Cricetulus griseus: one gene and its partner. The protein of the gene in region 2 interacts with the protein of the main gene of each other region in a biochemical or structural test. Links are inferred from orthologs where the notes say so. Each region holds a gene or a part of one and is shown on either strand. Other genes may lie near its edges. The genes, in order: Apoa1 and Lcat.

The links.
Region 1: the proteins of Lcat (region 2) and Apoa1 form a complex in vitro, tested with the Homo sapiens proteins (6 studies listed by BioGRID and IntAct, with this or other methods). The link is inferred for Cricetulus griseus from reciprocal best matches to the Homo sapiens genes LCAT and APOA1.

Annotation. Positions count from the first base shown.
Region 1 is NC_048597.1:157,966,355-157,970,112, forward strand, and holds Apoa1 (apolipoprotein A-I), read left to right. Parts: upstream 1-1,554; 5' UTR 1,555-1,684; coding exon 1,685-1,739; intron 1,740-1,927; coding exon 1,928-2,081; intron 2,082-2,575; coding exon 2,576-3,173; 3' UTR 3,174-3,234; downstream 3,235-3,758. UniProt on the Homo sapiens protein: Participates in the reverse transport of cholesterol from tissues to the liver for excretion by promoting cholesterol efflux from tissues and by acting as a cofactor for the lecithin cholesterol acyltransferase (LCAT).
Region 2 is NC_048596.1:182,228,594-182,233,194, forward strand, and holds the start of Lcat (phosphatidylcholine-sterol acyltransferase), read right to left. Parts: upstream 3,107-4,601; 5' UTR 2,619-3,106; coding exon 2,239-2,618; intron 2,163-2,238; coding exon 2,047-2,162; intron 1,953-2,046; coding exon 1,857-1,952; intron 1,775-1,856; coding exon 1,550-1,774; intron 406-1,549; coding exon 1-405. UniProt on the Homo sapiens protein: Central enzyme in the extracellular metabolism of plasma lipoproteins.

The DNA of each region.
Region 1 (3,758 bases), on a different chromosome or scaffold from region 2:
GGAGAGATATAGGATAGTTGAACTACACCAGCCCTTTTGATGGTCATGGTAGATGGTGAGGTTGTCTTTGGAGGGGAGGCTGGGTAACATATACACATAACAAAAACCCTAGTGGCGCTAAGGTCTAGAATGAAACAATAATAGACTCCTTGACTAGCATGTACAAGGCCTTGGTTTCCATCCCCAGCAAAATAGACACACACAGACACAGACACAGACACAGACACACACGCATGCACGCACACTTTTCTTCCTTCCTTCCTTCCTTCCTTCCTTCCTTCCTTTCTTTCTTTCTTTCTTTCTTTCTTTCTTTCTCTTTCTCCTTTTTTTTGAGACAGGATTTCTCTGTGTAACAGTCTTAGTTATCCTGGAACTTGATTGTAGACCAAGTTGGCCCCGAACTCAGAGAGATCAACCTGCCCCTGCCTCCTGAGTGCTGGGATGAAAGGTGTGCGACACTGTCATCCAGCTATACACACACTTTTTGTTTTGTTTTTGTTTTAGTTTGTTTTTTGTTTTGGTTTGGTCTGGGTTTTTTTTTTTGTTTGTTTGTATGTTTTTGGTTTTTTGTTTTTCAAGACAGAATTTATTTCTCTGTGTAACAGCCCTGGCTGTCCTGGAACTCACTTTGTAGACGAGGCTGGCCTCAAACTCACTGAGATCCACCTGCCTCTGCCTCCCAAGTGCTAAGATTAAAGGCATGTGCCACCACTGCCTGGCCTCACACACATTTTAAAGCTAGGCTTGGTGCCATATTCTAGCGCTTGGAAGGATGTAGTTTGATGTTTTGAGTAGGAGGTAGGCTTAAGCTACACAGAAAGACCTTGGCTCCAAAAGGAAGAAAGGGACGGGGGAGGGATGGAAGGAGGAGAAGGAAGGAGCTGACAACTCCATATTGGCCTCATGTCTTCTGAAGTGTCAAAGGGGTCTTCATCCTCAGCCTGGGCCCCTGAGCCCCTCTGCATTTCACCCAGGCAAGTTCCTGGTGCCTCAGCTGTTCTTGGATTTAGGGATGGGAGGCCTATCAGGCATGTGGCATCTGGAGATAGGCATACGCTACCTGGGGAACCAGGATCAACTTCTTGTAATGCAAGAAAACTTTGGGGCAGGATGTGAATGTAGGAGCCCGAAGTTCCCTACCCCAACCCAACTCCAGGCTCAGAGGACAATTGCAACACATAGGAATACAGGAAGGAGGATGGTGCAGCAGTCATAACTGTGGAGACCCCCTGAGTCTGCAGCCACTCCCCTGCTTCCTCCACCTGAACCCTTGATCCCAGCTCTGCAGCCCCCGCAGCTTCCTGTTTGCCCACTCTGTTTGTCCAGCCCCAGGAACACAGCTGATCCTTGAACTCTAAGTTCCACATCGTCAGGACAAGTAAGCAGAGACAGGGCCAGGGTTGGGCTTATCAGCCTTCCCTCCCGGCCCCTGCCTACAAACATAAATAGGCCAGGGAAGAAGAGCTGGGCACTCAGAGACTGTTGGAGAACTCCAGGGAGGTAAGTGCTGCTACCTGCCCTAGGCTACTCTGGCTCCCTAGTGCCTCACCCACTCTGTGGGTTTCTGGGACCTTTTCCCACTCTAGATGCTTCTTCCACTGGCTTAAAGGTGGGGTGCAAGTGTGGGGCTTCTCTATGACAGAACCCCCCTGCAGCTCAGCAATTCTATTTCTTCAGGTCACCCATGCGGTTCAGGATGAAAGCTGTGGTGCTGGCCGTGGCTGTGCTCTTCCTGACCGGTAGGTGCCTCCAACCCAGGGAGGCAACAATATTGGTGCAGTGGGCTTCTGCTTAGGCCTCCATGGCCTACCTTCCTGGGCACAGAGAACAGAATTCTCTCTGGTCTCCTTCCCAATTCCAAGTCTGACACTGCAGCTCAGACCTCAGCCCAGAGCTGGCCTGACATGTGTCTCCCCTCCATCCCCAGGGAGCCAGGCTCGGCACTTCTGGCAGCAAGATGATCCCCAGACCCCATGGGACAGAGTGAAGGATTTCGCCACTGTGTATGTGGACGCAGTGAAAGACAGCGGCAGAGAATATGTATCTCAATTTGAAACTTCCGTCTTGGGAAAACAGATGAAGTAAGGAAGAAGCCAACCTGGGGCCTGGAGCAGGGCAAGGGTTGTCTATCCAGGGTGGGCAAAGAGGCCTGTGAGAAGATGATGTAACTGAACTAGCCAAATCTTCACCTGCTATCCTACCTTTGGGCACCATGGCAGGGTCCAATGGAGGAATAGGGATGGGACTCACCTGGGTGGTGGGTAACCACAACCCTTCTTTCTGCCTGTGAGTGCAAAAATCTCTTCCCCTGGGTTACCTCTAGTACTGGTCAGCCAGCACAGAAAGGGAACTGGCCTGGCAACAGGCACCAACCCCATCTTTGTCCTTGGTACCTCAGGCCTGGTATACTGAGGAATGTGGAAGGCGGGAAGAGTGTTAGAGGGGTGCGTATTTGGGGGAAACTAGGAACATAGCAACTGCACGTTCGGAGATAGGTGGCACCCAGGACTGCACCAATACCTGGGGCAGTGCAGGATGCCTGAGGCTATCTCTCAGCTGCTCTCTCCTCCTTCAGCCTGAATCTCCTGGAGAACTGGGACACCCTGGGCTCAACGGTTGGTCGCCTGCAGGAACAGCTGGGCCCAGTGACTCAGGAGTTCTGGGATAACCTGGAAAAGGACACAGATTGGCTGAGGCAGGAGATGAACAAGGACCTGGAGGAGGTGAAGGCGAAGGTGCAGCCCTATCTGGACCAATTCCAGAGCAAGTGGCAGGAGGAAGTGGCTCTCTACCGCCAGAAGGTGGAGCCTCTGGGCGCGGAGCTGCGCGATGGCGCGCGCCAGAAGCTGCAGGAACTGCAGGAGAAGCTGACCCCTCTGGGTGAGGATCTTCGTGACCGCATGCGCAAACACGTTGATACTCTGCGCACAAAGCTGACTCCCTACAGCGACCAGATGCGCGAGCGCCTGGCTGAGCGCCTGGCCCAACTCAAGGACAGCCCCACCCTGGCTGAGTACCACACCAAGGCCACCGGCCATCTGAAGGCGCTCGGGGAGAAGGCCAAACCCGCTCTGGAGGACCTGCGCCAGGGCCTGATGCCCGTGTTTGAGAGCTTTAAGGCCAGATTAATGAGTATGATCGATGAAGCCAGCAAGAAGCTGAATGCCCAGTGAGGCGCCCATCTCCACACCCCACCCCTGCATTGGCTTTCTTAGAATAAACTTTTCCAAAGTGGGATGGCTTCTTTCTTTGGGGGACCATAGGGAGAACACTAAAGGGACATCCAGGTTCTTGGGAACTTGGTGCTGCAGTGGGGATTCCTTCATACAGGACTCAGCTCTCCAAGCTCACTCAAGCCTGGCGCATGGCTGGTTAGGAGTGTGAGACAGAATCCCTGTCCTAAGAAGGCTCAGAGGGAAATAGATGGCCAGGCAAAGCAACAGGGAGCCCCTTGAAAAGTACTCCACAGAGGCTCAAACCACTAGTTCTGTAGCCCAGATTGGGAGTGGCTGGGAAAAGAACTGCCTTTAAGAGGACAGGTTTCCTGTGCCTGAAGTGTTTCCAGGTGGGGTTCACCTGGGCAGAGGTTGCAAGCATCTTCCACTCTCTAGAGCCAGGATCCCTCAAGGATTCAGAGACTCGAATTGTTGCCCTAATTGTGCTAATAAAATGCCTGGAGCTTAACATTCTCTCTTTCACAAACCCCAAACCCCTCAGCAAACAATTCTCTTTTTCTCTCGGCAAGATTCCCACGCAGT
Region 2 (4,601 bases):
CATGCCACCGGCCACAGAGCTCAGTGCTGCGTGTGGCTACAGTGTCATCACCATCCTCATAGAGTGCAGCCACTGGGTCTTTGTAGGGAAAGCTGTGGTCATAGATGTATGTGTGAGGTGTGGGCAGACCCACACCATACAGACAGTATACTTCTACACCAGGTGCTGGGAGGCCTGCCAGCAGGTCACGTGACTGTAGCCACATGTACCATCCGTCTTCAAAATGAAGATCCTCAAAAAAACGTTTGAAGTCTTGGCCTGTGTAATTGAAGTTTGGTGTGGAAATGAATACATGGTCTTCAGGCCATACTTGGCGGGCTGGAAACATCCAGGGGGAGGTCGTGGTTATTCGTTGCTCCTCTCTCAGCTTGATGCTGGACATGAATGGGATGCCCTGGTTGTCACCTGTGGATACAGAACCAGGTGGGACAGGGAGCTGGGCCTGGCTCCCTATTTGCCTCAGTGAAGCACTTAAACTTTGTCCTGCCAGGCGGTGGGTAGTGGCTCACGCCTTTAATCCCAGCACACAGGAGGCAGAGGTAGGTGGATCTCTGTGAGTTCGAGACCAGCCTGGTCTACAAGAGCTAGTTCCAGGACAGGCTCCAAAGCCACAGAGCAACCCTGTCTCAAAAAACAAAACAACAACAACAAAAAACTTGTCCTGCCCCATCCTGACCTTGATTCCAAGACACAGACTGGAACAGGCCTGGTGTTAAGTGCTCAATGTTTGTATAAGAGGCTATGTTGATATTTCTGTAAGACAGAGCTATAGGGCCTCAAATGGTATGTACTGGAAGAGGAGCAGTTAATGAGATCAGCTGGGGCGTTGATGGCGGAAAGCCTTTAATCCCAGCACACAGGAGGCAGAGGTCAGCCTGGTCTACAGAGAGAGTTCCAAGACAGGCTCCAAAGCAATACAGAGAAACCCTGTCTTGGAAAACCAAAAAAAGAGAGAGATCTGGGAAGTGTGTGTGTGTAATGTCCTGTGAAGGGCCTATGCTGCACAGTAGTCACAAGATTGTATTTTTGGAGGTTTAGACGGTGTCTGTTTTAGATTCAGTGGTGTAGTCTGGTGAGGATGTTAACAATGAAGGCTGGGTCTTTCTGTGCCCAGTAGAAAATGGGGATCAGTGAATGGTGGCTATATTAGTGTTGGGTTCCTAGGGAAGCCACCCCCCAAAAAAGAAAAAGAGCATAAAGGATCCCTAGGTTTGGCCCTGCTGCGGTAGATATGTCCTCAATAAAACAGATTTCTGGGCATGGTGCTCCGGGGAGTGAAAAGTAACTAAAAGCCAGAGTATACAGGATCTGGGCCTACAAAGAGTAAATCTGGGGCTGACAGACTACTTGGATTGGCCTCCTCTATCACCTCCCTTATCATCACTAAAAGACTCTACAAGGAGACATCCTAATGGCTGTCTTCAAGGAGCTAGTGAACAGAAAATTTCCCTGGGGACACTGAGCACAGCTGGAGTGACAGCCAGCTCTGTGATCTGTTTCATCCCACCCTCACCCTGCCCAGGATGACAGTGATCAAGAGGATCCTCACCTGAGGCCATGACCAGCATGGGCTTGATAGAGCCACCCCAAGGAGCCCCAAGAGAGATAAAACCATCAATGAAGCGGTCCTTCCAGGACTGAGGCTGACGCAGTAAGAAGTAGAGCACATGTAGGCAGCCAAGGCTGTGCCCAATAAGGAAGACAGGCTTCCCATAAGCAGCATACATCTCCTCTACCAGTCCTGCCAGCTTCCGGTAGTATTCATCCTGCTGGCCTGAAGATGGGCAGATAGGTCAGAGCAATGAGAGTCTGGGACCACCTGTCATGCCCCCAGCCCACCACCTGTAAACACTCACTGGGTTCCAGACGCCAGTCATAGGGTGCGGCCCGCACTGTCTCATCCCGCACATACCCATTGTTAACCAGATTCTGTACCAGTGTGTGCATGTAACCTGTGGGGAGGCAGCAATATAGGGATCTCTGTCCATCATACCTGTATGCCAGCCTGATGGCCAAGAGCCCCTTCCTTTCCCTGAGTAGACACACCTGCTAGCTTGTTGTCATCTAAGTACTCAACAGAGTAGGTCTTGCCAAAGCCAGGGACACGGATCTGTACACCAGGAGCATTGGACACGTGCCCAGAGCTGCGGTTGTAGACAACCCTGGGGACAGTGGAACATTTAGCAACCAGTAACCAGGGGAAATGTGTAGAGGATGGGTAGGGCACATGGAACATACCTGGTATTATCAATCCAGCAGTCCACCCCAAGGGGTAGAAACATATTGAGATCCAGCCAGATGGTGAAGAAGTCCTCTGTCTTGCGGTAGCACAACCAGTTCACCACATCTGGTTTATCCAGCTTAGCTTCCAGCCGATTCCCCAGGCAGCCAGGCACTGTGGGCACCAGCTTTTGTTCTGGACTTCTTGGCTTCTCTCCAACCCCCCACCCTACCACCAAAAAACGCCCACCCCTCCATTTCCCACACCCTCTAACCATATCTATCTTCTCTCCACCACACTTCCTACTGCCCCACCAGTACTGCAACATCCAGGCTCCCTTTAGGCAGGGAAGGTGCAGGAACCAAGCCGCTGACCCCTGCCCCCACAAAACAAACATCCAGCTTGGCTTTCCATTATTGCCAAAGTCCAAGGAGAGAACAAATAGGTACGAGGGAACATGGGCTGGGCCTAGAACGGGAGGGAGGCATTTATGGACCTCTTGTGCTATCTGGCACTGGACTGGGTATCTCCTTCTTGGTAAAGTAGAAGCCAAGGAAGTAGTGGGGCTTAACCTAGTATCCAGTGTATCTGGAGCTGGCCATAGTTTGAGGTGCCCTGGCTACGGTCAGGCAAACCACATCCCATTTACTGACCACCACCCCAACCCTAAGCCCCTGAAGACAACTTAGACATAGAACAGTGTGAAGGGGAGAGGGGTGGTATCTCTGTAGAACTAGGCTTTGCCCCTTCCCCACAGGTATGAGGGGGCTAAGACCCACTAATGGTGGGGCAGAAGAATTTTGACAGCATCTGCTGCTGTCAGGGGCTAAGACCCAGGCTCCCCAAAGTCTTGCTTGATGCATCAGGGGCCTAGTGGGGGCTTACCGAGGATGACAGGCCTTGTGTGGTTACTGAGTTCAGCCTTGGGCGTGGTTTGCGGGGGGAAGAGCACATTGAGGAGCCAGAAGGGGGTGGCAGGAGGGAGCAGCAGCCCCAACAGCAGCAGCACCCACTGCCATGGGGAGCCAGGCAGCCCCATTCCAGCCCAGTGCCTACTGCCAGATGAGGCAGTCCTAGGCTGGTCTTATCTAGACTGAGGATGGGAGGGGCCCCAGGGCCAGTGGGAGGGACAGAACCACCAATGGGGGTGGCCAGGAAGGGGCATAGCCTTAGGGATCTGGCTATGGATTTGGGTTCAGTTCTTTCTTCCCTTGGCGCCAGGGGAAAAAGAGCTGGGGCAGCAGGACGCCCAGAAATACACAATGTTTTATTGAAAAAAGTCAGGCTCAACTTGGCCAGCTCCATTCCACTTGGCTTGATGAGAGTCTCTGCCCACAGCAGCCTGAGCCAGGTCTTCCTGCAGGCAGGCCCAGCTCAGTTCCCCCTCTTAGTATCCCTCCCCTCTTCTCTGATGATGACATCCAAACAATAAATATACAATAAATAGCGCTCCTGGGCCAGACTGGGACTTCAAATCCCATATTAACCCTCACCAGTCTTCTCTAGTCAGGATAAGCCTACACTGGGGTATGGGTGAAAATCCCTATATCCCCCAGGCTCCATGGGCCCTCGGATCCATTTAAATTGCCAGGTCCAAGCTTGGTTTCCCAGGAGACCTAGCAAAACTGGTCCAAAGCAAGGCTGGGCAAAGCAGAACTGGCAAGTAGGTGTAGGGGTAGGGACTGTTGTCCTAGACACCCCAACTCCAGGCCACGAGACTCCACTGGGCTCAGGAATAGATGGTGATGACTTCACGGCCACCTCCACGCACCAACAACACTCGTTCAAGGCCCTCAGTCAGCACTTCAAGGAATTCCATGTCTGTAGGGTATCAGGTCAAGGAGGCAGCGACTGGACCAAGTCTACTGCTTCCCAGCCACCCAGGGACACTCAAGGAGAGGATAGCTCCCTACTGTCAGCCTTTACACAAAAGGATACAGTTCTCATCACCCTCACTGTTCTTAGGGGGACCAGGCATGTTCAGTAGGACTAGGCGGGCATCATGGGAGCGTGTGACAATGACTTCATTGAGCTTCACAGCAGTGTGCATGCGCCGTACATTGGACTGATCCCTGCAGACAAAGCAACTGATCACAGGCTACTGAGAACTAACTAGCAAAGAGGTCTCTGTCCTTGGCTCATCTGCACAGTTTGCCTGTTCCCACTCCTCCTCAACGTCATTTGTACTCACGGCTTAATGTGCACCAGCTCCCGGAAGTTGTCGGGGGCATGGCTAGGGTCCCAGGGCTCAGGCATGTACTTGTCTCTGGTCCATGTCATCTGGATCCTGTCAGCCCCTGCTGCAGCCTCATCCTCCTCATCTGAGTAAAGGCTCTCTAGCCGCAGGGCTGAGTGCCTGTCTTTGACCAGCTGGGCCTGA